7 linked regions of the Oryctolagus cuniculus genome follow. The protein of the gene in region 1 interacts with the protein of each later gene in a biochemical or structural test. Links are inferred from orthologs where the notes say so. Each region holds a gene or a part of one and is shown in the gene's direction. Other genes may lie near its edges. The genes, in order: RAC1, BIRC2, ARHGAP32, ARHGDIA, ARHGEF7, ARFIP2 and PAK2.

Region 1 (3,985 bases):
CCGGGGTCTAGTCCCGGTCAGGGCGCCGGATTCTGTCCCGGTTGCCCCTCTTCCAGGCCAGCTGTCTGCTGTGGCCCGGGAGTGCAGTGGAGGATGGCCCAAGTGCTTGGGCCCTGCACCCCATGGGAGACCAGGAGAAGCACCTGGCTCCTGCATTCGGATCAGCGCGATGCGCCTGCCACAGAGCGCCGGCCGCGGCGGCCATTGGAGGGTGAACCAACGGCAAAGGAAGACCTTTCTCTCTGTCTCTCTCTCTCTCACTGTCCACTCTGCCTGTCAAAAATAAATAAATAAATAAATAAATAAATAAATAAAATAAAAAAGAAATATGGAGAGGGGCTGGCACTGTGGTGCAGTGGGTTAAAGCCCAGGTCTGAAGCGCCATATGGGCGCCGGTTCGAGACCCGGCTGCTCCACTTCCGATGTGGCTCTCTGCTGTGGCCCGGGAAAGCAGTGGAAGGTGGTCCAAGTCCTTGGGCCCCTGCACCTGCATGGGGACCTGGAAGAAGCTCCTGGCTTTGGATCAGCCCAGCTCTGGCCATTGCGGCCAATTGGGAGAGAACCATCGGGTGGAAAACCTCTCTCTCTCTCTCCATCTTCTCTCTGTAACTCTTTCAAATAAATAAATCTTAAAAAAAAAAAAAAAAGAAATATGATGGAATGAATACTGATTATGGCCCAATAATGGTATGGTTTCTTTTTTTTTCCTTCTTTATATAGCTTCAGCTTCGGAAATTTCTAGAAGGCCCTTATGTCATCGCCTAAGTGACAGTGACCATACACACAGGACAATAAAGAGGTGGGGGAACAACCCACGCCCTTCGGACGGCCGGGCCGGGAGTCGGTGACGTCAGCGCGGTTCCTGGAACCCCCGCCTCCCCTCCCAGTCCAAACCCGGCCGCGCCCAGCCCGCGGGAAAGATGGCGGCCGCCCCGCCCCCGCGGCCGGAGCCGAGCGCTCCCGAGCGCTCCCGAGCGTTCCCGAGCGCTCCCGAAGCCCCGAGGAACCCCGGGAGCCGCTCGGGCGGGAGCGGCCCCTCCCGGAGCCTGGGAGCGGCGGCGCCGGCGCGGGGGAGGGGCGGCCGGATGTGAGTGGAGCGGCCATTTCCTGTTTCTCTGCAGTTTTCCTCCGTTTTGGGTGGTGGCTGCTGCCGGGCTTGTGCCTCCAGTCCGCGGAGGGCGAGGCGGCGTGGACAGTGGCTCCGGCATCCCGCGCCCCGCCGCCCGTCGCCGCGCGCTCGCCCGCCCGTCGCCGCGCGCCCGTCCGCCCGCCGCTTCCCGCCTCAGCGCCCGGCCGCCGCCGCCGCCGCGGCCCAGCGAGCGGCCCAGATGCAGGCCATCAAGTGTGTGGTGGTGGGAGACGGGTGAGTGCGCGGCCGGGGGCTCTGGGGGGCCGGCGGGGGCTCGCCGAGGGTCGCGTGGGCGCCGCGCGGCCTCTGCGCGGGGCTCGGGCGGGCGCCCCTCACCCGCCGTCGTCCCGGGCCGGGTTGCGGCGTCCTGGTGGGGGGAGGGCCCTGCCGCTGGCCGGCCGCGGGCAAGAGTGGACTCCGCCCTCTCGCCGCCTTCCCGGGCCCGCGGGGCGGCCGGACGCCGCCCGCCACCCTGCCCGGCTTGGCACGGCTCTCGGGCGCCTGTGCAAATCATTTTATTTTATTTTATTTTATTTTGGCGAGAAGGGGCCGTTCCCTGGCATTTACCCTAAACCTCCTGGTCGCCCCCCACCCCCACCCCTCCAGCCCGGGGAGCCGGGGCGGGCGGCGGAGGTCCAGTGGTCTGAGTGACCGGAAGCCCAGCGTGCGGCCGCGTCGCTGCCACTTGTAACTTGGCCACTTGTGGGGTTCTTCGACATGGTCGGTGGCGCCCTTGGCGTGGACAAAGTTTGGAAGATGCTGTCAGGGGCCAGGTGTGACGGAAGCTGACCTCCTGCAATGTGGTCGTTATTTAAAAAAATAAATAAAAATAAAAATTAAAAAACCGAGGCCTTGGCTGAGCGCGGCAGGGATGGATGGAGTTCTTTCCAGGACCGCCCGTGGGGGTTACAGGCCCCAGAGGAGGACAAGACCGGTCTTATGCAGTTGTGTGTGTGTGTGTGTGTGTGTGTGTTTTTCCCTCCCTTATAAACAAGAATCCCAGTGTGATCCGAGCAAAATCGCGCGTCTCAGCATTGCTTGTGTAGCTTAGTGTGGGACAGGGACTCTCGAAGAATTACTACCAGTTTCACCCAGCTCTGAATGCAACTGGTCCAAGTCCAGAGTCGGAGGAAGAGTGCGCTGGACACCTCTGGTTCATATCCCAAAAGTGGCCTTCCGACTTTTATCTTTTTTTTTTTTTTTTTTTTTATGCCTCTTAGTGAATGTGTGATCTCTTAGCTTAGAGAACTGATGGGAGACGTTTGAGATTGTTTGTGCATTTCGGATGCAAGGAGGACAGTTAGGACACTGGTTTTTCTGGGGAGATGCATGTCTGTTGGATTCGTGTCACACGTGGGAAAGGTGAACCCTGTATAGTTCTACGTATTCAAATAAAAATTGTTAAATTTCATTTATTTAGGAATGTGTATGCTATGTTACCTTTTTAAAAGAAAACCTTACTTTGGCACTTGGGGAAAAGCGTTCGTGAAGTGGGATTGAAAATGAAGTCAGCGGATTATTTTAAGTGAATTCTTCCATGCTTTTGTGTCAGGCATCAGCAAAACGTCACTTTTTCTTAGGAACGTTTAAAATGACCTGGATTTCCCTTAAAAGTTATAAATGCTCCATCGATTATGCTTAGGATATGCTTAGCTCTCTTTCTAAGTGAAGTTGTGGTAATTCAGAACCGAGGGATGGAATGTAGTATTCTGACTTGAAGGTTTCTAAAGCAGGGACCCAGGGTGTTTGACACGAAGAGCTCCCAGCCCTCTCCTGCTGGTACTGCTGTTCCTTCCAGTGAATACTTGTTGAATGCCTGCTGTGTGTGTCTGTCCTGCCCACATCTCACCACTTAGTTGGGAGGTGTCTGAGAGCACATCACTCCTCCCCTCCCCCAGAGAGGTTCCTCCTTGGGAAGTTCAGTGAAATCATGCAGGGGGCTGGCTGGCAAGCCCCTCCCAGGGGCCAGGCCTCTACTGATTGCCTGGAAGTGACCAGGACCAGCACTGTGTGAGGCTCTGTGAGGGAGTATGAGTATTCAAAACACTGTTCCCGCCCTGGAATTTCCCGTCTGCTTTCTAATTTAATTTTTAAAATTTACTTGAGAGAGAAGAAGCTCCTACCCACCAGCTCACCCCCAACATACCTGTAACCAGCATCTGAGAACCCATTCTAGGTCTTGCTCATGGACAGGAGGGACCCAACTACATGAGCCGTCACCACCACTCCCGGGGTTCACACTAGCAGGAAGCTGGAATTGGGGCCTGCAGCAAGGAATCGAAGCCCGGCACCGCGCTGTGGGGTGCCAGTGTCGCAAAGGCTTGTCCCCACGGTATTTTAATGAGGGTTTGACATTTATGTTGACTCTTGACTGTCTTAAGTAGTATTGGAGTAAAGTGAACTTTTGCCAAAAAAAAAAAGTTACACTGTTACTCTCAGGGGTCATACGTAGCAAACATTTCTTCAGTAAAAATCCAAATCCCAAATTTTCCGTACCAAGAATATATTTCTGCTTTCGACTGGTAAGCTATATTCCTGATGATACTGCTGGAATGTTGTTTTATCAGATTGTTAAAGCTGTAAATATGGCCCCGAGTTTCAGTTAAAGGTGTTTAAACAGTGAAGGCAAAAGGTGGAGATACCACAAATTGGAAGCAAGCTGAGTTTTAACCATTTTATAACTGGGATCAGCTGGCTATTTTTTTTTAATTTAATTTTATTTATTTGAAAGAGTTCCAGAAAGAGGTAGACAGAGAGAGAGAGGTCTTCCATCCTCTGGTTCACTTCCCAAATGGCCACAACAGCTGGAGCCAGGAGTTTCTTCCAGGACTCCCACGTGGATGCAGGGGCCCAAGC
Region 2 (4,196 bases), on another chromosome or scaffold:
AAATATTTTGGGGAAAAATATCTAAGGCTTTTGAAATGCAAAATTTCCCCCTCTACAGAAGTACATTCATTACCTTTTTTGGTCAGGACAAGAACTGAAAAGGAGAAATAATCTTGAATTCAGAATGAACAATTCTTGCTATATACTTTTCCCACATATTTTGGGAATGTTTTGTAACTTTCCGAGAAACATAACTTGAACTAAATACTAAACTACTACCAAGACCCATGTGCATTTTTGGAAGTTTTTAGTCATTGGGAGCCGTGGCATTTCTCCTCTATCACACTTTCTTTTTACTACCAACCATGGAACAGAGGACCTCCTGCTCTGTGACTGACTGGCAGGCAGAAATGACAGGACAGGAAATGGGAAATGGTTCAGTGTGTTGGAATTCCCCTGGCTGCCTAATTAAGTGGCTTATTTGGAAGTTTTTGAAATGTTTGCCCCTGGAGTTCCCCGGAAAGAAGCAAGCATCTGAGTTCATTGACAAAGCCTATTTTCACAGACACCGCGATACAACATGTACCCCACGGCCCAGGAGCGCAGCCGCATTCCACGCCGCAGAGGACGAGAGCCAAATGGCCCAGGCTAATGCAACCAAGGTTTATTTACGCGTGTTCCATCACGTCCCCATACGGAAAAAAATCCTTTGTCTTCGTAAGTGAACTCCTTGGCGCTTCCTGTATATGTGTGCACGTACATAACGTATACGTTCCATTTTATTCAAACCCAGCAAATCCTCGGACTGAAGCCTGACTCTCGTGGCTAACAATGCACATTTGAAATAAAACACAGCTCTTCCCCTGGAGCCTGTCTCCAGAGCAGGAAACCGAAAGTTTAAAAAAAGAAACGCTGGTTGATAAAAAAAAAAAAAAAAAAAAAAAAAAAAAAAGCTTCAAGTTTTCAAAAGCAATCTCCTGACGCCGTCCTCGCTGCATGTCTCGGCTGTGCACCCTGGCTTGCTCCCGGGCTGCGCTGCGGGACACGCACGAGGGGCAGCACGGCGAGAGTCCCGCGGGGGCCCGGACCCAACGAGGGGGCGGCCCGCGACGTGCAGTCCCTGCGCCAGGGCGTTTCCGCAGGGTTTCCCGAGCCTCCAACGCAACCGCTCACGCTCTGCCACGTCCCCCTCAGGAGAACGTCCGCGGCAGAGAAGAGGCAGATGTCACAGGGGCGCCAACCACGCGGCTAAAACGTGCAAACGCCAAGTTCAGGCGAACGAGCCGCAGCACCCCGCGGAACGACCGCGCCGCTCCAGGTGGGCGGACCCGCCGGGCCGCGCCGGGCCTCCCCGGGCCTCCGGGCCTCCTTCCCGGAGGTGACCCAGCGCTCCGTTCCGCTCTCCGACCGCAGACTCCCGGGCGCCCTCGCGCGGCGGGGGACGTGGGCGACCCGCAGGACGCGCTGACGTCACCGTGCGTCCGCGTCGGCCCCGCCGGGGTAGGGGGCTTGGGGAGCGCCGCAGGCCGGCAGAGCCGGGTTTGGCCGCTTGAGGTCTCGGCCCCACTGCCTTCCTGTTGTGCGGAGGCCTCCAGGCCCCCGAGCTGGGTCCCTGTTTGCTGTGCTGGCGATGCGGTGAGTGCGGCTCCTTCCGGGGCCGGCCGCGCGGGGCGGGTCGGGGCGCGGGCCTGCGGGGGCCCACTTCCCTGGTGTTGCGGCCGGGCGAGGGAGGACGGGGCCTGGGGCGCCGTGGGCTGTGTGGTTTCTACCCGCGCCGAGGCTTGTATTTAATTCGGAAGCCCCAACTTCAAAAGACTTTCAGTCGAGACTGGCTGCTTTTTTTTTAAATGATTCGTTTTCAAGTCTGGCCGCCGCCTGCTTTACTGCCCTTTGGACTTTGATCAAGATAGTTGCTCTAGGGAGTTTTTGCGCACTTGTAAACTTAGGCTTCCGTGGTCCGTGGGAACGCGAGAGCTCACATTTTGCAAGGCTCTGCGGTCCGCTGCTGCGGTGGTTGTCTGTTGTGTGTTGTTTGAAATAACTCCTAGAAATTAATGGCTAAAGCCGCACGGTTTCTCCTCTTTTCCCTTCCAGTTTATCCCCTGCCCACCTACAGCTTGCTTAAAGAGATCAAAAGTAGCAATATGCTGCTTGTAGATAAAGAGCTAAAATTTAAAGATACGAGACATGGTGTAATTAAAGTGTGCATTCATGCAAGCGGTCACAGTGCCAGGCCCAGGGTTGCAGGGACTATTATGTTACTGTTTGTTTTCGAGTTGGCTGTCTGTAGTGGTGGCGGCTTTGGAATTGCGAGGCAGCTGGTATGGTTTAAGGATTTGTATTAATGAGCTCCTCCTGATGTCTTTAACGCCCCACCAGACCAGCTGGTTTTTCTAGCCCTGGAAAGACCTAACATTTAAAAATCGCTTTACGGATCTGTCTCTGCTAGCCCCGTTGCAGACAGGGAGTAATGGAGTCTCCAGTTCTGTCCCTTTGTGCCTCCACCAAAGTGCCCGAGATAATTATCCTGAAGTGAGAAAAGGGGAGGAGACTGAAGACAGTGTTTCCACGTGTGGAATTGTCTTTGACGCTGTACATTGTAAAGACATGGATATAGTTCATGCTGTGGAGCTGTTTTGCATTTATTTAAATTAAGAGCATGTCCAATTAGAAAGTTTTGGTGACAGATTGCTGGAATTAACATATTGTCTAAAGTGTCAGTCAGACTCCACTGAATAAATTGCATAATCTGTAAGCTTCATGTGGCATGCAAATAGTTTTCTAAAATACCTTTTCTTTCTTTTCAGATTTATGGCTCTGAAGAGTCTCTTTGTCCCCCATTTTTTCTCCCCTTGAAGATAATAAATCCCACTATGGAGACCCTGAAACTTTATAAAGGAATATAGTTTGAATTCTATGGAGTGTAATTTTATGTATGAATTAAATTTTAAAAGTGTTGAGTTTTCAGAACGAAGGCTGGGAGTTCAGCACTGGTCTATTATGTGGAATCAGTAATTCTGTTGTGATAACACTAGAAAGGACAAGCTGTGTATTTTGATAAATTGGTTCATCCTCAATTACAACATGACTGATATTACAGCTGAATTGTCCTTAAAAAAAGAGCAGGTTAACTTTTAAATGCAGTGTAAAGAGTGTGTACTGTGGAACTTTCTATGGTTAACTAGTTAAGTTTATGAAGAAAGTACTGGCAGTTGATCAGTCATAATCAAGTGGCGTGCAAAGTTAGAAAGACAACATGCTACAGGAAATGGAAACAAGTACAGGTAATATTTAACAAAAATAGAGGAGTTAATAGCTTGTGAACTTTAAGCAAAAAATCATTTGATAATCATACACACTGTACTAGGTATAGATTGAACAAACCTGGTGGATGCTAACTTAACCCTAGAATTGTTAACTGAAGCTAATAAACCTATTTAAGTAAATACTATGACGATAAGCTATGTGAAATTAGCCTTTAGATAATGTGACTTTTATAAATGAAGCTTTTAATTACTTTTGTTTACTAGAAGAAAGTGAAAAAAAATTTGGATGTCATAGTAAGGTGCTTACAGGGAAACAATCCTGCATATAGATTTTTTTCTCTTGTGAAATAATCAGTGATTGGCCTGATGTCCAAGCTTCATAGCTTATAACCAAAAGCGAATTGGAGTCATAATTGAGATAATCTGTAGTTGCTTAGTATTTGGAAAATATAAACCTCTTAGAAAAATCAAGTTTTAACATTTCCCAAGTGCGTGAACTTTTTCAGGCCGTTACATTATTGTTATACCAATGAGTAAATAGCTCTTTAGTTACTTAAAAGTGAATACAATCTTGAAGAATACTAAGAGTATCTTGGTAATTTAGGAGATTTATTTATCCCACCTTACCATAAGCTCACCAGTCAGGTGTGGTGAATTCTGCGTAAGTCAACCAGTCATTTGATTCCTTTCTGTGGTGAAGTCTCTGAAGAGATGAGAGGTTTCATGTGAAGGTTTTAGCCATCAAGAAATACTGTCACCTACTCATGCACAAAACTACCTCCCCAAGAGTAGTCCCAAGGACCCTGTATTGAAGAACTCAGAATATGATGGAAGACAGCACCATCTTGTCAACTTGGACAAATGACAACAAACAAAAAATGAAGTATGACTTCTCTTGCGAACTCTACAGAATGTCTACCTACTCAGCTTTCCCCAACGGTGTTCCTGTCTCAGAACGGAGTCTTGCTCGTGCTGGTTTCTATTACACTG
Region 3 (3,500 bases), on another chromosome or scaffold:
GCCCCACTGCTGCACCTGCGAGCCGAGTCTGTCCCCGTGCACTCCTGTGGCTTTGCTGCACCCGTACCCCCTGCCAGGACGGCAGAGAGTAAGCTCGCTGCTGTCATGCACTCCAACAGTGCTGATGCCACCAGCAGTCCAAATTACCACTCCTTTGTCACTTCTTCATCGGCCTCTGTAGATGACGGGATGCCTTTGCCACCTCCTGTGCTACAGCCTAAGCATGCTGCTCAGAAAATAGTGTACTCCTCCTCCTTCGCTAGGCCTGATGTCACCACCGAACCCTTTGGTCCGGAAAACTGTTTGCATTTCAGTATGACTCCAAACTGCCAGTACCGTCCCCAGAGTGTACCTCCACATCACAATAAAGTGGAGCAACACCAAGTGTATGGTGCCAGATCAGAGCCACCAGCCTCTGTGGGGCCTCGTTACAACACCTATGTGGCCCCAGGAAGAAACGCATCTGTACACCACTCCAAGCCATGCAGCCGGGTCGAGTATGTGTCGAGCTCTTCTGTTAGGAGTACTTGTTACCCTGAAGATATTCCACCATACCCTACCATCCGGAGGGTCCAGTCTCTCCACGCACCCCCATCTTCCATGATTCGCTCTGTTCCCATTTCACGGACAGAGGTTCCCCCAGATGATGAGCCAGCCTACTGCCCCAGACCCCTGTACCAGTATAAGCCATACCAGTCTTCCCAGGCCCGCTCAGATTATCACGTAACTCAGCTTCAGCCTTACTTTGAGAACGGACGGGTCCACTACCGGTATAGCCCCTATTCCAGTTCTGCTGCTGGCTCCTACTACAGTCCAGACGGGGCCCTGTGTGATGTGGATGCCTACAGCACAGTGCAGCTGAGACCCCTCCACCGCCTACCCACTCGCGATTTTGCTTTCTACAATCCTAGGCTGCAAGGGAAGAGCCTGTACGGTTATGCTGGGTTGCCTCCTCGTCCACGGGCCAACATGACCGGCTATTTCTCCAGCAATGACCATCATGTAGTCAACATGCCGCCAGCTGCTGATGTAAAGCACACCTATGCCTCTTGGGATCTTGAAGACATGGAAAAGTACCGCATGCAGTCCATCCGGAGAGAGAGCCGTGCTCGGCAGAAGGTGAAAGGGCCTGTCATGTCGCAGTATGATAACATGACTCCAGCTGTGCAAGATGACCTGGGTGGGATCTACGTCATCCATCTGCGCAGCAAGTCAGATCCTGGGAAAACTGGACTTCTTTCGGTGGCAGAGGGCAAGGAGGGGCGGCGCCCAGCCAAGGTCATCAGTCCCGAGGGAGATGACCGCTTCTACAGGAAGCACACAGAGCCAGAGTTAGACAGAACCCACAGCCACGCAGGCTATGGCAGCGCGCAGGGAGAGAAACCCTCTCTCCCACAGAAGCAGAGCAGCCTGAGGAGCAGGAAGCTTCACGACATGGGTTGCAGCCTCCCTGAGCACAGGGCACATCAGGAAGCAAGCCACAGGCAGTTATGTGAGTCGAAAAATGGGGCTCCTTTCCTGCAGGGAGCTGGACAGTTAGATTACGGGCCCAAAGGAATTCCAGACACGTCGGAGCCAGGGAGCTACCATAACTCTGCAGGGAAACATGGCCCACCCGGTCCGGAGTCTCTGAGACTGAACCACAAGGAGGTGAGGCTTCCCAAAGAGCTGGAGCGGCCTCGAGCCAGGCAGCCTCCGGCCTCAGAGAAACACCCCAGAGACTGCTACAAGGAGGAAGAGCACTTCACGCAGTCCACGGTCCCACCTCCTAAACCCGAGAGGAGTCACAGCCTCAAACTCCATCACACCCAGAACGTGGAGAGGGACCCCAGTGTGCTGTACCCATACCAAACACATGGCAAGCGCCAGAGCAATATGACTGTCATGTCCCAGTATGACAACCTGGAGGATTACCACTCCCTGCCTCAGCACCAGAGGGGGGGCTTTGGAGGGGGAGGTCTGGGGACGTACGTGCCCCCTGGCTTTCCCCATCCACAGAGCAGGACATATGCGACAGCTTTGGGCCAGGGGGCCTTCCTGCCCACAGAGCTGGCCTTGCAGCATCCTGAAACACAGGTCCACGCAGAATGAGCCCTGGGAGCAATAGAGTTGAAGCAGTCTCTGCTGGACAGTGGACTGGTCTATTTTTTTCAATAACCAAAAAGATTAAAAAACAAAACAAAAAAAAACAAAAAACAAAAAAAAATGCTACAACCCCCTGGTCACATTTAAAAAACATAATAAAAGTAAACAAATCAGCATCTCCCCCCCCCCCACTTCCCTGCCTCATTACCACCTCTTCCATCTATAGACTGTATCATTTTTGTCTTTTAAAAGCGAGCTGAATGATTGTAAAGCATTGTGTTGGAAACTGAGTGAAAACTTTGTCAGAGACCACACTTGCCACATAGGGCTAATTTGTAAGAGCCTGAGGGCTGCCTATAGCTGAATTTGAACCTAACTCTCTCTTGGCTTCTTAGTCTTTGCTAGCAAGTCCAGAGCAGTTTGCATCTGTTTCCTGGTGGGCTCGGGCACTTACTGTTGTGTTCCCCCTTCTGCAGCTACACAGCTTGCCCAGTGGGATGCTCCACTCTTCTCCTTCATTAGCCCTGGCTGAGAAGGGGCTTGTGTGTTAGATGAGAGTGGGAGGAAGCTCTTTGGTCCTTCAGATCAATCAGTCAGACTATTAGAAGCATTACGGTAAAAAGGAAGGCCATCTTTAAATTAAACATACTCAAGAGTCATCATAAAACGTGGGACCGTTCGACTCAGGCTGAACTGTATGTTCTTCCCAGTCTTTCTTTTCATGCTTGTTCCTCACAGTTCAAGAACAGGCTCGTGCCACTGCAGAAAGGTTATTTTGTTTGTTTGTTTGTTTAAGTTAGAATTTAAGGAAACTTCTTAGGTGGGAGAAAGTGAAGCTCGCATTGTCATTGCACTGTGTTAGCACCAGAAAGCTGTTGTCAGTGCTTTGAATGCCTTGCCTGTCTTCAGGGGTTTCATGCTCAACAATGTTTGGTAAATGAGAATCTCAATGCAAATATTTCAAACCCCATTTGTTCTCCTAAATTAGCAGCTTGTTTTTTTTTTTTCTTTAATTAAAAAAAATCAACATGGTTTGGATAAACCTGCATTATTTATCTTGGCCGTAAATTTACATGTTAAATTTTGTTTCTGAGCCAGGATACAGGATCCCTGGGAATGTAGCTGTGTTGTCTGTTAGGAAACTGCTAGTTCCCGCAATAACCACTTCTACACAGCCCCTCTTCAGTGGTTGGCTTTCCCAGGCAACTGCCATTTATGTCCCGAGCAGGTACATAGACTTCACTTCCTCTGGGCTTCTGAGATCAGTCTTAACATAACTGTCATTACACCAGCATTTCAGGTACAGCTCTTTATAACTTCGTGGACATGTGACTCTGTTTTGAAAGCTTCATTCCTTATTATAGTAAGAAAAGGACACCTCTCTAGCTCAACTCCATTCTGTTTCCTGAGTCCAC
Region 4 (4,291 bases), on another chromosome or scaffold:
GGGTTCCAGCCGGCTCTGGCTTCTGACCCCGGACGGCCGTGTAATGACAGGAGCCGCGGGGTCCCGCCGCCCACGTGGAGACCTGGGTTGTTTCTGACTGGGCTTCGGCCCCTCCGCTGCCGTGAGCTCTGAGAAGCCGCACACCTCGGCCTTGCAACAGAGTATACACGGCAGGCCCTGTTGCATTCAATGTTTTTATTTGAACCAGGATAACTCCATTTTTTTTTTTTTTTTTTTTTTTTTTTTTTTGAAAATCAGAGTTAGAGGAGAGGTAGAGAGAGAGGTCTTGACCATCCGCTGGTTCACTCCCCAGTTGGCCCCAACAGCTGGAGCTGCGCTGATCCAAAGCCGGGAGCCAGGAGCTTCTTCCGGGTCTCCCATGCGGGTGCAGGGGCCCAGCACTTGGGCATCTTCCACTGCTTTCCCAGGCCACAGAGAGAGCTGGATCGGAAGAGGAGCAGCCGGGACTCGAACCAGCCAGAGCCAGACCCGCCCCTGGGTGTGGGGGGGAGCAGGGGAGGCAGTGCGGCCTGGGGGGGGGGGGGCAGTGCGGCCGGGGGCAGTGGCAGTGGCTGGAGATGCTCAGGCCCATTCAGTGTCGGGGCGTCGCCCTGCCGGCCTGCTCCAGGGACCCCTCTGTCCAGGGACCCCTCTGTCCGGCGCTCACGTCCATGGAGCCCCGTCTGCCAGGTCCGCCCAACCCTGCAGGGACGGCAGAGCTGAGGGAACCCCGAGACCTCCAGGGGAGGCGGGAGCAGCCAACCAGCGAGGGCCACGCGCCGGACTCCACCCAGGTCTCCGCCACGGGTGCCAGGGACCCCAGGTCTTGGGCTGTCGCCTGATCTCCCCCAGCCCATTAACAGGAAGCTGGATGGGAAGGGAGCAACCAGGACCGTCCCGAGTGGTGCTCGAGCCACGGTGCCGGTCAGCGCTGCCCCGAACCGGATTCCGGCCGAGGAGCAGCAGATGGGGGCCGCGGTCGAGGCCCCGACAGCTCCGGGGGCTGCACTGGGGGGTCCCGTGCCAGCCCCAGCCAGGGCGCCGAGGGGCTCGCCGACGCCTGCAGCAGCTGTCGGCGGGGCGGGCCAAGCCCCTCGCGTCTCCCGCGCGGGAGGCCTGGACCGTGCACCTGGGGAGTGAACCGGCGGGGGCAAGATCTGACCTCTCTAACTCGGCCTTTCAAATAAATAAATATTAAAGAAAGAAAAGGACAAGCTTCAGGCTCTAGTCCACCCCGGGGGTCCTGACGACGCCCCCCCCCGCTCTGCCGCTGCAGTGGGCAGCTGTGTCCCCCCGCCTGGCGACCCACAGGGCCGACCGCGGGGCCTCGCAGTGGCTGGCGCGGGAGGCGTCCTGGTCCCTCGGGCGCCCACCTCGAGGACCACGCCGCCCAGCGGGAAGCGCCCACGAGGCCCGGCCCGCAAGATGGCGCCCGCAGCGCACGCGCCCTGGCCGCAGCGCTCCCGCCGCGCATGCGCAGCCCCGCCGGCCCGCCCGCCGAGAGCGGAAGTCGCGTTGACCCCGGAAGTGACAGGCGGGCGGGCGGACGGACGGGCGGGGCGGCGGACGACGTTCGTCATCTGCTGCGGGAGGGAGCGCGAGAGCTACGCGGTCGAGCCCTCCGGTGAGTGGCCCCTGCGGGGCCGAGCGCCGCGCGGGTGGGCAGCGGGTCGGGCGCGCCGGCGGCGGCCGCGGCGCGGGGGAGGAGCCGCCTTTGTCCCGCCCGCCCCGCCCTGCGCCCGCGGCGGGTCTCGGCGGGGCGGGGGCTGACAGCGGCGGCCGGCGCGGGGCGGGCCCGGGCGGGGCGGCGGCCCCACGTGCGGAGGGGCCGCGGGCGTGGGCGGGGGGCCGCCCGGGCCCCGCGCGCGCTCCGGCGGCCCTGCGTGCAGGGGGCCGGGCCCGAAGCCCCCTCCCGGGGGCCGCGGGCGCTGCCGCCCCGGCCCCGCCCCGCCCGTCGCCCGGATTGCGGGCCCTGCGGAAGTGCGGGCCCCGCCCTGGCTGTAGCCCGCGGCCGCCGCTGCCGGCCCGGTTTGTGCGCGGGGCGTTGTGCGTGCGCTGCGCTCTGACCGCCTCCAGCCCCGCCCGGAGCGAGCCGGTGGGTGCTCAGGGTTCCGGGGCGCGCAGGGCGCTGCAGCCCCTCCCGGATCTCGGGTCCGAGCCCCTCGGCGTGGGGTGGCCCTCGTGCCCCGACGCGCGGGCGCCAGGAGAGGCCTTGCGGGCGAGGGCGGCCGCGGGACGCGGGAGGGCCGTGGTGGGGGAGGCGGCTGCCGGCGGCCACAGCCCTGCGCGCCCACAGGTGTGCAGGCAGCGAGCGGCGAGCATGGCTGAGCAGGAGCCCACGGCCGAGCAGCTGGCGCAGATCGCGGCGGAGAACGAGGAGGACGAGCACTCGGTCAACTACAAGCCGCCGGCGCAGAAGAGCATCCAGGAGATCCAGGAGCTGGACAAGGACGACGAGAGCCTGCGCAAGTACAAGGAGGCCCTGCTGGGCCGCGTGGCCGTGTCCGCGGGTGAGTGGGTGTGGCCGCGGGGCACCTGTCCGCCCTCGCCTGCCCCGGCGGCCGCGGCGGGCGGGGGTCTCACCGGCCGGCTCTCCCCAGACCCCAGCGTGCCGAACGTCGTCGTGACCCGCCTGACCCTGGTGTGCAGCACGGCCCCGGGCCCCCTGGAGCTGGACCTGACCGGTGAGTGGGCGCCCGCGGCCCTGGGTGGGGCTGGCTGCCACCCTGTTGCTTCCGCTAAGTGATGTGGTGCGGGGCTGCCCCCTGGCGGGCCCTGGCGGAAGTGCGCTCGTGTGCTCCCCGCACAGGAGACCTGGAGAGCTTCAAGAAGCAGTCGTTCGTGCTGAAGGAGGGCGTGGAGTACCGGATAAAGATCTCCTTCCGGGTAGGCCGGGCGCGCCGCGGGGGCGTGGGCCCGCTGACCCCGCTGACCCCGCTGACCCCCGCTGTGGCGCCCGCAGGTGAACCGAGAGATCGTGTCCGGCATGAAGTACATCCAGCACACCTACAGGAAAGGCGTCAAGAGTGAGTGCGCGTGGCCACGCCCCGCGTCTGGCCACGCCCCCGGGAGCGAATGGGGGCAGACCTGGGGAGGGGGCAGGAGTGGCCACGCCCCGTGGGAAAGGGTCTGGAGGGACGCCTGAGGCCACGCCCAGTCTGGTCACGCCCTCGGGAAGGGCGGGGCGCCGAGGCCACGCCCCGCGCCGCTGACCGCGCCCCGCGCCCCGCAGTCGACAAGACCGACTACATGGTGGGCAGCTACGGGCCGCGGGCCGAGGAGTACGAGTTCCTGACGCCCATGGAGGAGGCGCCCAAGGGCATGCTGGCGCGCGGCAGCTACAACATCAGGTCCCGCTTCACGGACGACGACAAGACGGACCACCTGTCCTGGGAGTGGAACCTCACCATCAAGAAGGAGTGGAAGGACTGAGCCCCCCCACCGAAGTGCTGACAGGGCCCCCGCGGCCCTCCCCCCTTGGCCCTCCTGCGCCCACAGGCCCCGCCCGCGGTGGTCTGCCGTTGCTGCTTCTGCCTGTGCTGCCGGGGGAGGCCCGGCCCGAGTCTCCCTGCCCGCTGTGTTCCCCAGGTCCCCCCCCACCGCCACGCCCGCGGCCCTGGCCCTTAGGAGGGAGCGGGGCGGCCGCGCGGGAGCTGGGGTGCGTGAGGCAGCCCCATCCACTCCCCGGCCAGTTCATCTGTCGCTCAGTACCGTCTAACCATGATGCCTTAACGTGTGGAATGCGTCCCGGGAGCTGCCATTCACTCCCCGTGTCTGCCCCGCCCACCGCCCCCGCGACAGGGGAGGGGCGCCAGTGCCGCCTCCCTGCCCCCCAGCCCCCTGGCCTGGCCAGCCGACCCCTGTCCCCCGGCCGCTGGGGCGGGCCACGTTGCCAAACGCCAGGCACTTCTGTCCCGTGGGGGGGGGGCAGGCGTCCCACACCTCCGCCTGCCCTGTCCCAGCGGCCAGCACTGACCCCTCCCCCGCAGAGCCCCCGGCAGACGGTGCGGCCGAGCCTTCCTGCTCTCCGGGCCGCAGTATTTATTGCCTCTGTTCGTGCCGTCCTGGGCCCTCCCGGACCCTGCAGGACAAACCTGGGACCAAGTGCACACCGCTGGGGGCCGTCCCCGTGCCTCCCCCCAGTCTCCGTGTGGCGTCTGCCGGGCTCGGCCTCCACAGCCGCAGGAGCCCCCGCTTCTCCTCCCCCAATTGGGAAATAAACTGCCCCGAGGACCCGCGTCTGCTCGGCCCTCTTTGGGGTGGGCGGTGACCACGGCGCGGGAAACCATGG
Region 5 (4,276 bases), on another chromosome or scaffold:
CATCCTTTATTTAAATTGTTTTTTCAACAGATTACTTGGGTACTTGGCCACCTGTTACCGTGTGCATTAGCAACCAAACCTTGGCATTTCTGCTTGCGGCATTTGTCGTCCAGTGGGTCAGTCTGGAGGTTCTGATTGATCCGTCCTCAGTGTAGGTGAGCCCTGCTCCCTCGTGTTTCTGCCCCAGTTAGCATCACTTACCAGAGTGAGCAGAGAGTATAGCAGAGTGAACAAGAGACGGCTGCCGTGTGAATAGAATAAACCAGTGGTTTCCACGCAACTGAAAATCAGGCGAGGGCGCGGGGCCCTCGGCGCAGAGGTGCAATGCTGCTGGACACCCGCGTCCCACGCTGGGTGGGTTTGCGTCCCGGGTCTGGCTCCTTATTCCAGCTTCCTGCATCCGGGAGGCCGCGCTGGATCCCAGTCCTCCGAGCACCCCAGCGTGCGTGTGGCTGGACCTCGGAGATGGTCACGGGGAGGTCCACTGCTCCCGGAGGCTGTCCTGTGACCGCTGGCTTTTTCCCATGTGCGTCTCTAACACTGCATGGTGCAGGCGCCTAACGGTTCCCTTGCGGCCTCCCTTCCTGCCCTGCACTCCAGGCCCTGTCTGGCCTCCCTGGACGCAGCACGGACTTGGAGAGATACTGCCTGCATTTCCAAATGTTCCCGAAACTTAATTTTCTTCTAGAGAAGCAGGGTCGGCATTATCTGTGCTGTCCCCCGCCGCGCCCTCCCCGGAGATGGTAGGAAGCCGTGTCTCGGCGGCGGCGGTGTGCCGGTGGTTTGCTCTGTGGTGCTGGGATTCATCGGTCTCGTCTCTTGTTCCCATCACTCGCCTTTGCCGTGCTCTGTGTTGAGCTGCCGGCTCTCGGGGTGAGGGTTCCAGTGGAAAGCACACGGCTCCCCAAACAGCGGTGGTGGAGGGGGCTTGAGGAAAGCATGGCTGAGAAAGCCAGAGCGGGGCAGCGTGGGGGAAGGACGCCCTCTGCAGGACGTGGGAGCAGCTGGAGCCGCCGTGGCTCCTCCTGGGCTGGAGGAACAGTGGCGGCTTCCGTGGACCCGGCACCACCAGCGCTCTGTGGTAGTTTGCTGATTTGCCTGTAGATGTTTCCACCATGGCTGAATTCAGACTACCAACATGATAAAGCCCGGTGCAGGGCTGGGGCAAGACACGCACGGCACCCCTGCAGCCGCCGTGGGCTCCTTCTCCTGCATGCCTGGCCTCCTGTTGGCCGGACCCCCTGGAAACCAGGGCGGGGGGGGGGAGCCTGGCCCGTGCGGTCCCGAGGTCAGGGCCGGGGGAGCCTGGCCCGTGCGGTCCCGAGGTCAGCCGGCTGGTCCGGGGCTGTTCCACGTCTCTGCTCTCCCGACTTCCCCACCTGTAATGGAGCAGACTTACCTCAATTGTTTTCTGCAAGAACACTAAGGTTCTTTCACTCACCCTGTGGTAGGTGAGATCAGGGAGCCCAGTGGTTCGGGCCGTTTGGTGCACACTTGCTGACCTCCTGTGTCCAGTGAGGCACCTGTGGTTGCAGGTAGGGAGCCTGTGTCCAGTGGACAGGTGAGGTGTGCCCGCGGTGGGCGTGCAGGCAGAGCCACAGGGTTCAGAGGAACGGGCTGTTGCTGGCAGCCCAGGGGGAGGCGACATTGCTCGCTCAGAGTTCAGCCTGCATGTCCTGCTAGTTCTCTAAGGATGGTCCCGGTACCATCAGAGCCTCCCAGGAACTTTCGAGAAAGCCAGTGCCGTGGTTTCCACCTTAGTCCGACAGAAGCAGGAGACTGTGATGTTTGGTTCCCAAACCTGCATGAAATTCAGTGTCAGATGAGGGATTTCAGACACAGACACACACACACACACACACACACACGATGCCTGGGCCGCACTTCCAACACACCCAGCCACATCTCTGGGGGCCCTGGGGCTGGCACTCATGGTAAGATGCTAGGATGCCTGCGTCTCACGTTGCTGGACCTGGATTCTCCCCCAGCTCTGGCTACTGATGCCGCTTCCTGCTAACGCAGATCACGGAGGGCAGCAGTTATGGTGCAAGTAGCTACGTTCTTGCCACCGGCATGGGAGCCCTCGATGAAGAGCCCAGCTCCTGGCTTTGGCCCCCTGCTCCCTGGCCGTTGTGGGCATGTGGGGAGTGAACCAGGGGTTGGGGGCTGTCTCTGTAGTGAAGAATTTCTGGGGACGAGGCTCCATGAGGAGGTAAGATGTGGTGAGCTTTGTCCATTTTCTGGTCTTAATTCTAATTTCTAAGGCAACACCGTGTCTGTGTGCTTCCCTGGCTTGTAACGCCTATTCCCCCTCTTGCACTAACGCTAACACCTTGCACGCACTTTCGAACCCTGGCCGAGGAATGGCACTTTGCTTAGACTGCGGCCACGTTGGTGGCTCCTGGTCCGGAGGCCGTGGTGCGTTGAGGAGGAGGAAGGGAGGCAGCTAAAGTCTGTCTTAACGTTGCTTTGTGATTAAGCTGGAACGGTCTTCTGCCTTAGTTCACAGAAGAATCCGAGTAGTTTGGGGACGTTCAGGGCCTCTGCCTGACGACAGTTCTTGATGGAAATCTGGGACAGGTTTCTGGGACGTGAACTGGGGGGACTTGCTCGTCCTTTGAGGCCCGAGTTCTTTGACCTCCTCTGGAGCCTGGAGCGGGGGAGCCCTTGCTGGGTTGTGAGTACTCTGGTGACGGTGAGCGTGGTGCCCTCCTTGTCCCTGGCATGTCGCCCTGCCACGCTCGACACTGCCCCTCTCCCTGTGACCCACTCTGCTGTGTGCGCATTGTTACCTGCGGCTTGAATCTGCAGTTCCCTGAGCATTAATGTGGAACGCGTCTTCCTGAGCTCACGGTGCAGCTTCTCCGGCGAGGTGTGAACATGGACTTTGAATTGCCCAAGTGCATTTTCCCCACTGCTGTTTCATCCGTGATCAATCATCTCCGTCCTTGAAAACACCTTGGATTTGACAGTGGCACACCTCTGATTGTGCAGGTCTTCCTGCCTCTTCCCTCTCCAGGCCCAACTCAGACGTCACCTTTTGCACTGGCCAAGCCTCTGGCCCTGCCCTGTGTCTGTAGCGTGTACATGTCGCTCCACTGTATTTCCATGGTCCCACGTGTCCATCTGGGGGGGGGCGCACTTGCTATGTAGCAGGCAAGTCTTGTCCGCCTCCTGGAAGGCAGTGACCTTGTCTCAGAACATGACCTGCTACGGAGTCCAGGCCCAATAAAATTGTTAAATTAATTACCCACTTGCTCCTCCCAATGCCCGTGAGAGAGGCTGGGTGTTAGCCTTAAATTGGAGATAAGGGCACAGACCCAGGGAGGTCGATGACTTGTCAGGTGACACGTGTGACACAGCTGGGTGCTGCTCATCATAAAGACTCTCGGACATTACAGGTATCAAACGAGTGCGCCCCCGAAGCAGCCGGCTGCACGTGGCTCTGTGCGGGGACACTTCAAGGGACACGCCGTCACAGGATGGTGTTCAGGACTCACAACTTGCAAATGCAGTTCCTGAAAACTGCCCAGCCTAGATGCCTGTGTCCAGGAAGACATGGGCTGGCTTGGCTGTCCACCTGCCCACTTCCCACTTGACATAGAAAGCTGGCCTTGCACCCATTTGCTGTCTTCATGAGGTGCTCAGCTGCAAGGCGGGACCTCTAGGCCGTGCACCACGTGAAGAATTACAGGTACCCACGATGTTGAGAAACCAGCCGCCTTACTGACCTGGGCTGTGCACCTCAGGGGTTTCCACTGCTTAGCTCTTCCAGGAGACCGAATCACGTTGTTAATTGATGACTTAAATCCGTTTCTTTACGAGAAAGTGTAGAAGGCCTCCAAGAATTAGGTTGTACCATGACAAACTCCCTTTCCATGTACTAAATTTTATCAACAGTGTTTGCATAAAGTAAACCCCAAGGTAGAAATACAGTAGGCCAGCACCGCGGCTCACTAGGCTAATCCTCCGCCTGCGGTGCTGGCCCCACCTGGTTCTAGTCCCCGTCAGGGTGCCAGATTCTGTCCCGGTTGCCCCTCTTCCAGTCCAGCTCTCTGCTGTGGCCCAGGAGTGCAGTGGAGGATGGCCCAAGTGCTTGGGCCCTGCACCTGCATGGGAGACCAGGAGGAAGCACCTGGCTCTTGGTTTCGGATGGGCGCAGCGCACCGGCCATAGCAGCCATTTGGGGATGAACCAACGGAAGGAAGACCTTTCTCTCTGTCTCTCTAACTCTGCCTGTCAAAAAAAAAAAAAAAAAAAAAAAGAAAGAAAGAAA
Region 6 (4,228 bases), on another chromosome or scaffold:
TAGATAAAGTTCCAGAACACCCAGAATTCTTAACAGATTTCATCTCTGTTCTGTATCTCCTGACTTCGTAAGGAAGCGGTACCTAAAATCCCTGTGGATGTTGATCTATTGTTCATACACACACACACACACACACTTCCTTTCCCTGGAACCAGCAGAATTAAGACACAGTCCACAAAAACAGTCACATACCAATCCACATTTGACTCACAGGTGCATCTTTTAAGGCAGACTTAAGCATGGCCAGACAGGGCTCCCATTTTCTGCCATCCGGGAAGGAAACAATTCTATTGTTACTACCGACCTTGATCTTGTCCCTACAGAGCCTGACTTAACCAGCTGCCTGAACACCAGACATTTTCCTTCTACATATAGAAAACACTTCCTCAGTGGTCAGGGCTGAGGCCAGCAGATATGCACTAAACGACAGAACAAAGGATGGTGCCTACAGTGAGCAAAGGTTCCCTGCCCATAATATAAACCAAACAGAGTAAAAGGTGGGTTTATTGGCTCCAGGAAATGGAGCAACGGTACCCAACTTTCAGGCAACCCCTCGTGCAGGCTTCACCTAGTCAAAGTCCACAGGGTCCTTCAATCTGAGGGCCCATCCAAGGCCTTCCCTTTTGGGACTGGGGGTGGCTAGCTGCTGGACGGTGAGCCTGCAGGCTGTTCAGCGGCAACACCCGGCACAGCTGAGGCAGCCTCATAGTCTGCGATGCGGCGCTGTACCAGGGCAGGCATGAGCTGCACGTAAGCGGCCATGAGGCGGTGGTTGGAGTGGATCAGCTTCCCAGCACAGCTGTGTAGACAGGCCTCCTGAAAGGAAAACAGAGGGGTTAAGTAGAGGCCAAAGTGGTCCCGTTAGGCCCGGCTTCGTCCTTCCCCAACCGCAGCCTAGGGGTGAGGGTGGTGGGAAGGCCAGGCCGGAGAGGAAGGGGAAGGGGGTGGAGGAGGCAGACGACCCGTAACTGAGGATCGAGGGTAACGTCCCTACATAGTTGCCCACCTCCTCAGCGTCCAGGGCTCGGTGGTGCAGGCTGGGCACACAGCGCTGAAAGCAGAGTTCTGTCATCCGATTGTAGACCAACAGGAAGTCCCGCAACTGGAAGAAAAGGGGACCAAGAACTCAGCGATATGGGCCCCATACCTCAAGGCCCCGCAGCCACAGGCCTCCCAGGACCACGTTTCATAGCCGTTTGTTCCCAGCCTTGGCATCCCTGGCTCTCTGCAGTTCCTGCAAAGCGAGCTCACGGCACGGCTCTAGGGCGACTTAGCAGCACTCACGTTTCTCAGTTGTTGCTGTTGCTCCATCCCGCCAGGCGCTCACGCCCTACGTCACTTCCGTTTCAAGGTCTGGGTACCGCCCCGGAAGTAATCTCTCGTCGCTCCCCCGCCCTCCCCCCCACCAAGGACTAAAGGGTTGGCCCCAGGATAGCCCTGCCCCTGGCTGCTACGTCACCTCCGCCCTTAGAATCTGCGACGTGGCCAGCTTCTTCTGCCCGGAGAGGCCGTCACTTCCGCCGAGTCCCTGACCTGCTGCTAGGATCGCGACGGGAACTGGAACCGGAGGTCCCCGCGCCGCTCGGGCCTGGCGCCCTGAGGGGAAGAGCTGCCCGGCCCGAGGTGAGAGGGACGTGCCTGGGCGAGGGGAAGTTGAATGCACGGACCTGTCCTGAGGGCAAGATGCCCCTGAAAGATAGGCAAGGATGAGGACACACCTGATGCCCAGGTGTGTCGGGGGGAGGGGAACAGGGACTCACACACCTGAGAGACACAACTGACTTTGGAAGGGATCACCTTTGCTCTGGGGAAGAGAGGCTTTTACCAGCGACCAGCTGTTTCAAGCGAGGCCTGGTGCGGAGGGCCCCTGGAAGAGGAGGTGTATGAGATGGAGGGGGGAGACCACCCTGAAGGAAGAGGGAAAGAACATTTTAGGAGTATGAAAGGCGGAGCAATAGAGAGCATACCTGAGTGGGGAGAAAGCACTGGAGTGCTGGAAGGGGGCTTGGCTCCTGCTGGGAGTAAGCGCACCTGCATGGGGCTAAGTTCCAAGAGACCGGAGACTTTATCTCTCTTGTTCAGTGCTGTGTTTCCATTGCCTCAGATAGTGGCTGTCACATAGTAGGCACTCACTAAATGTCTGGTGAATGAGTGAATGCATGAACAAGCACCAGGTCCTGAGGTTGGGAGGTGGGGAGGCTGTGAGAAGACACCTGAGGCTTGGGTGTAGGTGTGTAGAAATGTGCGCTTCGGTGGGGGAGAAATACATATGCCTGAGGAAAGGAGTGGTGGCTGAACTCCAGGACACTCAGCCTGGGACTACCTCTAAAACATGAGAAATGGCAGGAGCGGACTCTCTCTTCCAGACTGCTGGCCACTTTCCAAAACTGTCTGTTGGGCTTTGCAGGGTGCTGGGGTGGAGACTTTGGCTCCAGCCCCTTCCCTAGCCATGACGGACGGGATCCTAGGGAAGGCAGCCACAATGGAGATCCCTATCCATGGGAACGGCGAAGCTGGGCAGCTTCCTGAAGATGATGGGCTGGAGCAGGTGCTTCTCTTTCATTCTTGTTTCAATTCGGGAATCCAGTTTATAAAACCTGGGCTCTCACCCCTATTCCAGCAACCTTCCTTAGCTTATCTACCTCACTTCATCCTTTTTACAAATCTTCATTCTGATTCTGTGCAGACTTCTCTAGTGTACTGTCTGTGGTGCTTCAATCCAAGCTTGTTCCCACTCCCACAATGCCTCAGCTGCCCCCCTCTTCTCTGGCCTATAGGACCTCCAGCAGGTGATGGTGTCAGGACCCAACCTCAATGAAACCAGCATTGTGTCTGGGGGCTATGGGGGCTCTGGTGATGGACTCATCCCCACAGGTATGAATGATCAGAGACAGGAAGCCTGAGTGGGGAGGGGGGTAGGAGTGGTTTGGAGGAGCATGGTATACAAGTGTATCTCGGAAAGCTTGGGAACTTCTGCTCATACAAACCCCATAGAGTCCTCTCAGCCCAAAGCCAGCTCCCAGGGTTTGCTGTCGGCTTCCCACTTACCAGTTAGCCCCTGACGTGGCATTTTTGTCCTTTCCCTGCTACAACCATCTGAACCAAGTTAAGACTTCTGGTTCACAAAAGTTCTCCTGCTCTAAAGCTTAAGCCTAATTTGGAACTCTGTGAGGCTTCTCAGTTTTACTTTAGACTCTAAAGTTTAGAGGAACAAACAGTCCCGGATGTCACTGACTGGGATTCCACATGGAGATGCCTACCAGATTTCCAAGGACTCACCATCTTTGACACCCCACCCCCAACACAATGTATTTTCTTGTTGTCCCTGCCCTGCATACCAGCAACACTCCTCCCAACCTCCCTCTACCCCAGCACACACACACACACACACACACAAAGGTAGCCAAATGTATATTGGGATTGGATTCTCAGGGCATGAGGTACATACATGTCCCTTCTAGTGAGCAGGAGAATTCAGTTGTCTCAAGCTTCCTTAGGGAAGTCATTTTCATGTGCTGGAAGGAAAGTATGAGTGAGGCCTTAGAGATGTCTGATTGTATCTGAGAGCAGCTGGTGTCAGAGAACTTGGTCCTTTAGGGTCTGGCCGCCATCCATCTCACAGCACCACTCCTCCTGGCCCTGGGGATGAAGTGGCTCGGGGCATCGCTGGAGAGAAGTTTGACATTGTCAAGAAATGGGGCATCAACACATATAAGGTGGGATTTAGCCCCTCTCCCTTCCCCAAAACTCCCCCTGGGTACTTTTTCCCCCAAATCCTAATATGCCATCTATGGCTGAGACTAGGAGCCTGGGGGTGCTGGAGTACGTACCTATTGGGAGGGAGGCAGGGTGCTAGGGTTTCTGACCTATTCCCTCACTTCCCAATCAGTGTACAAAGCAACTATTATCAGAGCGATTTGGCCGAGGCTCCCGGACTGTGGACCTGGAGCTAGAGCTGCAGATTGAGTTGCTGCGTGAGACGAAGCGCAAGTATGAGAGTGTCCTGCAGCTGGGCCGGGCACTGACAGCCCACCTCTACAGCCTGCTGCAGACCCAGCATGCACTAGGTGACGCCTTTGCTGACCTCAGCCAGAAGTCCCCAGAGCTTCAGGTGCCTCAGCCAGACCAAAGAGGGTTGGGGGACTGGGCCCTGGCCCTTCCAGACAGTCACTCCTCAGCCTCCCTCCCTCCCTCCCTCCTGCAGCCCACAGGGAGAACCCCTTCAGGG
Region 7 (3,500 bases), on another chromosome or scaffold:
AGAATTCTTGGGTTCAAGTCCCTGCTCTAGCTCCCAGTTCCAGCTCTCTGCTAATGTAGACGTTGGGAGATACTAGATGATAACACAAGCAATGTTGAGTGCCGTTTGCCCACGCGGGAGATCTGAATTGAGTTCTGGGCTCTGGCTTCAGCCTAGCCCAGCCCTGTCCCTTTATAGGCAGTTGGCAAGTGAAGCAGCAGATGGGAGAGTGCTTGCTCTCTGTCTCTCAAATAACTGTAAAATTTTTAATTAAAAAAATAAGTTGCAGGAAAAATGTGTAAAATCAAACTGTATAATGTTTAAAAATCAGGCTGAGTGCTAGTATATTCTATAAAGATATACCCCTGTGTCCTTTAGTTCAGTTTAGAGAAATGTGTGGAAATGACGCCATCAAATACAGGTGACCACTGGGAGCAGGGAGGATGCCTTTCAGGAACGATGGGCAGGAACCTTCACAGTCATTTGTAGTTGTTTCCTGAGCAAGGAAGTGTATTCATGAGTTAGGTTACATTTTTCCCTAATATTTTTATAGTTCTGAACTATTTCAAACATAAGTTTTAGTCACAAGGCTTGCCTCTTTTTCATCTTCTTTTCCTTTGATTTTGTTTTGACTTTTATTTCTTTTACAGGTGATGTCTTAAATGTTTTTTAATCCTTTTTTGACTTCTTGAAGTGTAAAGTCTTTGGATATTACAGTGATTTAGAAACCTTAAATCTTGTTATCTTTTCTCCCTCTAGGGCTTCTGGTACAGTTTTCACTGCTACTGATGTGGCATTGGGACAGGAGGTAGCTACTTTTTCATGCTTCTGAATGTTATTAGCTTTCCATGTAGCAGAAAACTAGATTAAAGCTGAGAATAATCAAGAGAAGTCTGTTTCCAGTTGAAGAGACCTGCTTTGTGTATCTATAGCATTTCTCACAGGGGAAAAAGGAATTATAACTTAGTATCATAAATAAACAAATATTAAAAGATTATTTTCCTAGCTTGGAATGAAAAGAGGGTTAATTCCTGCTGCTGTACTGATTTGGATTGGTTAATCAACGTCAAGATAAAACTAAAAATATTTAGGTTCTGTATATTGCAAAGAGTTGTGCATATGCAGTGTGGAATTACTAACTGTGAATGAGTTACAATCTCATTGTATAATATAATATGTATTTAATAAGTTAAACTGTTAACTGTTGTTTGTAATTTTCTATGAGGATTAGAAAATCTGTTGAGTTTTCTTCAATTCTGTTTCCATTATAGGTTGCTATCAAACAGATTAATTTACAGAAACAGCCAAAGAAGGAATTGATCATTAATGAAATTCTGGTGATGAAAGAGTTAAAAAATCCCAACATAGTTAACTTCTTGGACAGGTAATTGGAATTAAAAATGTGGAAATTTTAATTTTCATGGTTTGAAGGGGCTAATTGCTTCAGTTAAATGTCAGTGCTGGAGTGTAGCAGATAAATCTGCCGTCTGCAGTGGCAGCATCCATATGGAAACCGATTCAAGTCCTGGCTGCTCCACTTCAGATCTGGCTCTCTGTTAATGTGCCTGGGAAAGCAGTGGAAGAAGACCCAAGTCATTAGACCCTTATACCTGCATGGGCCACTTGGAAGAAGCTCCTGGTTCCTGGCTTTAGATAGCCCCAGCTCCAGTTCTCGTGGTCATTTGGGGAGTGAACCAGTGGATGGAAGACTTCTCTTTCTTTGCCTCTGCCTCTCTGTAACTCTGCCTTTCAAATAAATAAATAAATCTTTAAAAAAAAAAAATGTCAGTACTGGGCCTGACGTTGTAGCAGAGTGGTCTAAGTCACTGCCTGCAACACTGGCATCACTTATGAACTCCATGCGAGTTCCAGCTGCTCCACTTCCAATCCAGCTTCCTGCTAATGTGCCTGGGAAGTCACTAGAAAATAACCCAAGTAGTTGGGCCCCTGCCACCCACATGGGAGACCCAGATAGAGTTCCAGGCTCCTAGCTTCCACTTGTTCTGGCCCCAGCTATTGTGACCATTTAGGGACTGAACTGGTAGATGGTGGATAGAAAATCCCCCCCCCCCAACTCTGCCTTTCAAATAAATGAAGAAATCTTAAAAGAAAAGAAATGCATCAGGAGACAGCATTGTAGCACAGTGGGTTAAGCCCCACCATGCCAGCATCCAATATGGTGCTAGTTCTGGTCCCTGATGCTCCACCTCTAACAGCTCCCTGCTAGTGGCCTGAGAAAAGGAGCAGACAATGGCCCAAGTGCTTGGGCCCCTGCACCCATATGGGAGACCTGGAAAAAGCTCTTGGCTCCTGGCTTCTGCCTGGCCAAGCTCTAGCTGTTAGAGCCACTTGGGGAATGAGCTAGCAAATGGAAGGAAGATCTCTCCCTCTCTTCTTTTCTCTCTCCCTCTCGCTCTCCCCCTCCTTCCCTCCCACCACCTCTCTCCCATTCTCCCTCCAACCCCATGTATGTGTGTCTATAGCTCTGCCTTTGAAATAAATATTTTCTAAAAATGTCAGAGCTAAGAAATAAACTTGAAGGAGGAGAGGTAAAAGCACATTATGATTCAAAGTTTATTTTTCTACAGGGATATCTTATGGCAAATGAGAGAAGGTATTTAAACAAAGGACCATATATTCTATGAATTTTTATCTTAAAGGTTGGGTTTCATGAGTAAATTATATATTATCTACCAAAACCTCATTTAGGTGTGGGTGTTTGGCTCAGCTGTTAAGTTGCCACTTGGAATGCCTGTTATCTCCTATCAGAGCACTGGTTTGTATCCTGCCTACTCTGCTTCTGATCCATCTTCCAGCCAATGCGCCCCTGGGAGGCAGAGGTGATTACTCAAGTACTCAGATCCCTGCCACCCATGTGGGAGACCTCACTTGAGTTCCAGGCTCCTGGAAAAATGTTGTGAGCATTTGGGGGATGAACTAGTGGATGGAAAACTCTGGCTGACTGTTCTCTTTGTGTCTGTTTGTCTGTCTGTCTCTCTCCTTTCAAGTAATAATGAAAATAATGTTTTTAAAACCTCTCATTTAGTGTAGGAATTAATGTTGAATAATAGAACAAAAACCGGAATAGAAAATTATGTATATTACTACAACCACTTTTTAAATACTTAACAACATATGAATGAAAGACTTAGCAGAAGATGAAAATGTAATAGTGGTTTTATCGGAGTTACAGGATTATAGGCAACTTTCTTCCATATTTAAATTTGTTTAGAATGAGAAAAATAAAATTTTCAGGTACAATTTTTAAAAGTAATATTTCGGCCGGTGCCGCAGCTCAATAGGCTAATCCTCCACCTGCAGCGCCGGCACACCGGGTTCTAGTCCCGGTCAGAGCACCGGATTCTGTCCCGGTTGCTCCTCTTCCAGTCCAGCTCTCTACTGTGGCCCGGGAGTGCAGCGGAGGATGGCCCAGGTCCTTGGGCCCTGCACCTGCATGGGAGACCAGGAGAAGCACCTGGCTCCTGGCTTTGGATCAGTACAGTGCGCCGGCCACAGCGCAC

What was found.
Region 2: the proteins of RAC1 (region 1) and BIRC2 form a complex in vitro, tested with the Homo sapiens proteins (2 studies listed by BioGRID and IntAct, with this or other methods). The link is inferred for Oryctolagus cuniculus from reciprocal best matches to the Homo sapiens genes RAC1 and BIRC2.
Region 3: of the proteins of RAC1 (region 1) and ARHGAP32, one has a biochemical effect on the other in vitro, tested with the Homo sapiens proteins (3 studies listed by BioGRID). The link is inferred for Oryctolagus cuniculus from reciprocal best matches to the Homo sapiens genes RAC1 and ARHGAP32.
Region 4: the proteins of RAC1 (region 1) and ARHGDIA are reported together in a solved structure, tested with the Homo sapiens proteins (2 studies listed by BioGRID and IntAct, with this or other methods). The link is inferred for Oryctolagus cuniculus from reciprocal best matches to the Homo sapiens genes RAC1 and ARHGDIA.
Region 5: the proteins of RAC1 (region 1) and ARHGEF7 form a complex in vitro, tested with the Homo sapiens proteins (2 studies listed by IntAct). The link is inferred for Oryctolagus cuniculus from reciprocal best matches to the Homo sapiens genes RAC1 and ARHGEF7.
Region 6: the proteins of RAC1 (region 1) and ARFIP2 form a complex in vitro, tested with the Homo sapiens proteins (2 studies listed by BioGRID and IntAct, with this or other methods). The link is inferred for Oryctolagus cuniculus from reciprocal best matches to the Homo sapiens genes RAC1 and ARFIP2.
Region 7: the proteins of RAC1 (region 1) and PAK2 form a complex in vitro, tested with the Homo sapiens proteins (2 studies listed by BioGRID and IntAct). The link is inferred for Oryctolagus cuniculus from reciprocal best matches to the Homo sapiens genes RAC1 and PAK2.

What each region holds. Positions count from the first base shown.
Region 1 is NC_091450.1:40,075,988-40,079,972, reverse strand, and holds the start of RAC1 (ras-related C3 botulinum toxin substrate 1), read left to right. Parts: upstream 1-1,185; 5' UTR 1,186-1,328; coding exon 1,329-1,363; intron 1,364-3,985. UniProt on the Homo sapiens protein: Plasma membrane-associated small GTPase which cycles between active GTP-bound and inactive GDP-bound states.
Region 2 is NC_091432.1:94,067,251-94,071,446, forward strand, and holds the start of BIRC2 (baculoviral IAP repeat-containing protein 2), read left to right. Parts: upstream 1-1,396; 5' UTR 1,397-1,575; intron 1,576-2,747; 5' UTR 2,748-4,030; coding exon 4,031-4,196. UniProt on the Homo sapiens protein: Multi-functional protein which regulates not only caspases and apoptosis, but also modulates inflammatory signaling and immunity, mitogenic kinase signaling, and cell proliferation, as well as cell invasion and metastasis.
Region 3 is NC_091432.1:122,591,853-122,595,352, reverse strand, and holds part of ARHGAP32 (rho GTPase-activating protein 32), read left to right. Parts: coding exon 1-2,091; 3' UTR 2,092-3,500. UniProt on the Homo sapiens protein: GTPase-activating protein (GAP) promoting GTP hydrolysis on RHOA, CDC42 and RAC1 small GTPases. May be involved in the differentiation of neuronal cells during the formation of neurite extensions.
Region 4 is NC_091448.1:1,032,025-1,036,315, forward strand, and holds ARHGDIA (rho GDP-dissociation inhibitor 1), read left to right. Parts: upstream 1-1,491; 5' UTR 1,492-1,624; intron 1,625-1,964; exon of another isoform or gene 1,965-2,095; intron 2,096-2,296; 5' UTR 2,297-2,320; coding exon 2,321-2,510; intron 2,511-2,600; coding exon 2,601-2,684; intron 2,685-2,809; coding exon 2,810-2,886; intron 2,887-2,962; coding exon 2,963-3,026; intron 3,027-3,232; coding exon 3,233-3,432; 3' UTR 3,433-4,233; downstream 4,234-4,291. UniProt on the Homo sapiens protein: Controls Rho proteins homeostasis. Regulates the GDP/GTP exchange reaction of the Rho proteins by inhibiting the dissociation of GDP from them, and the subsequent binding of GTP to them.
Region 5 is NC_091440.1:2,147,337-2,151,612, reverse strand, and holds the start of ARHGEF7 (rho guanine nucleotide exchange factor 7), read left to right. Parts: upstream 1-1,476; 5' UTR 1,477-4,276. UniProt on the Homo sapiens protein: Acts as a RAC1 guanine nucleotide exchange factor (GEF) and can induce membrane ruffling. Functions in cell migration, attachment and cell spreading. Promotes targeting of RAC1 to focal adhesions. May function as a positive regulator of apoptosis.
Region 6 is NC_091432.1:60,403,114-60,407,341, forward strand, and holds the start of ARFIP2 (arfaptin-2), read left to right. Parts: upstream 1-1,428; 5' UTR 1,429-1,623; intron 1,624-2,407; 5' UTR 2,408-2,449; coding exon 2,450-2,548; intron 2,549-2,777; coding exon 2,778-2,874; intron 2,875-3,597; coding exon 3,598-3,716; intron 3,717-3,889; coding exon 3,890-4,111; intron 4,112-4,228. Other genes in the region: TIMM10B (mitochondrial import inner membrane translocase subunit Tim10 B), read right to left, coding at 640-816, 1,007-1,102, 1,285-1,311. UniProt on the Homo sapiens protein: Plays a role in constitutive metalloproteinase (MMP) secretion from the trans Golgi network. May have important functions during vesicle biogenesis at certain cargo subdomains, which could be predominantly utilized by secreted MMPs, such as MMP7 and MMP2.
Region 7 is NC_091435.1:83,327,796-83,331,295, forward strand, and holds part of PAK2 (serine/threonine-protein kinase PAK 2), read left to right. Parts: intron 1-738; coding exon 739-787; intron 788-1,250; coding exon 1,251-1,363; intron 1,364-3,500. UniProt on the Homo sapiens protein: Serine/threonine protein kinase that plays a role in a variety of different signaling pathways including cytoskeleton regulation, cell motility, cell cycle progression, apoptosis or proliferation.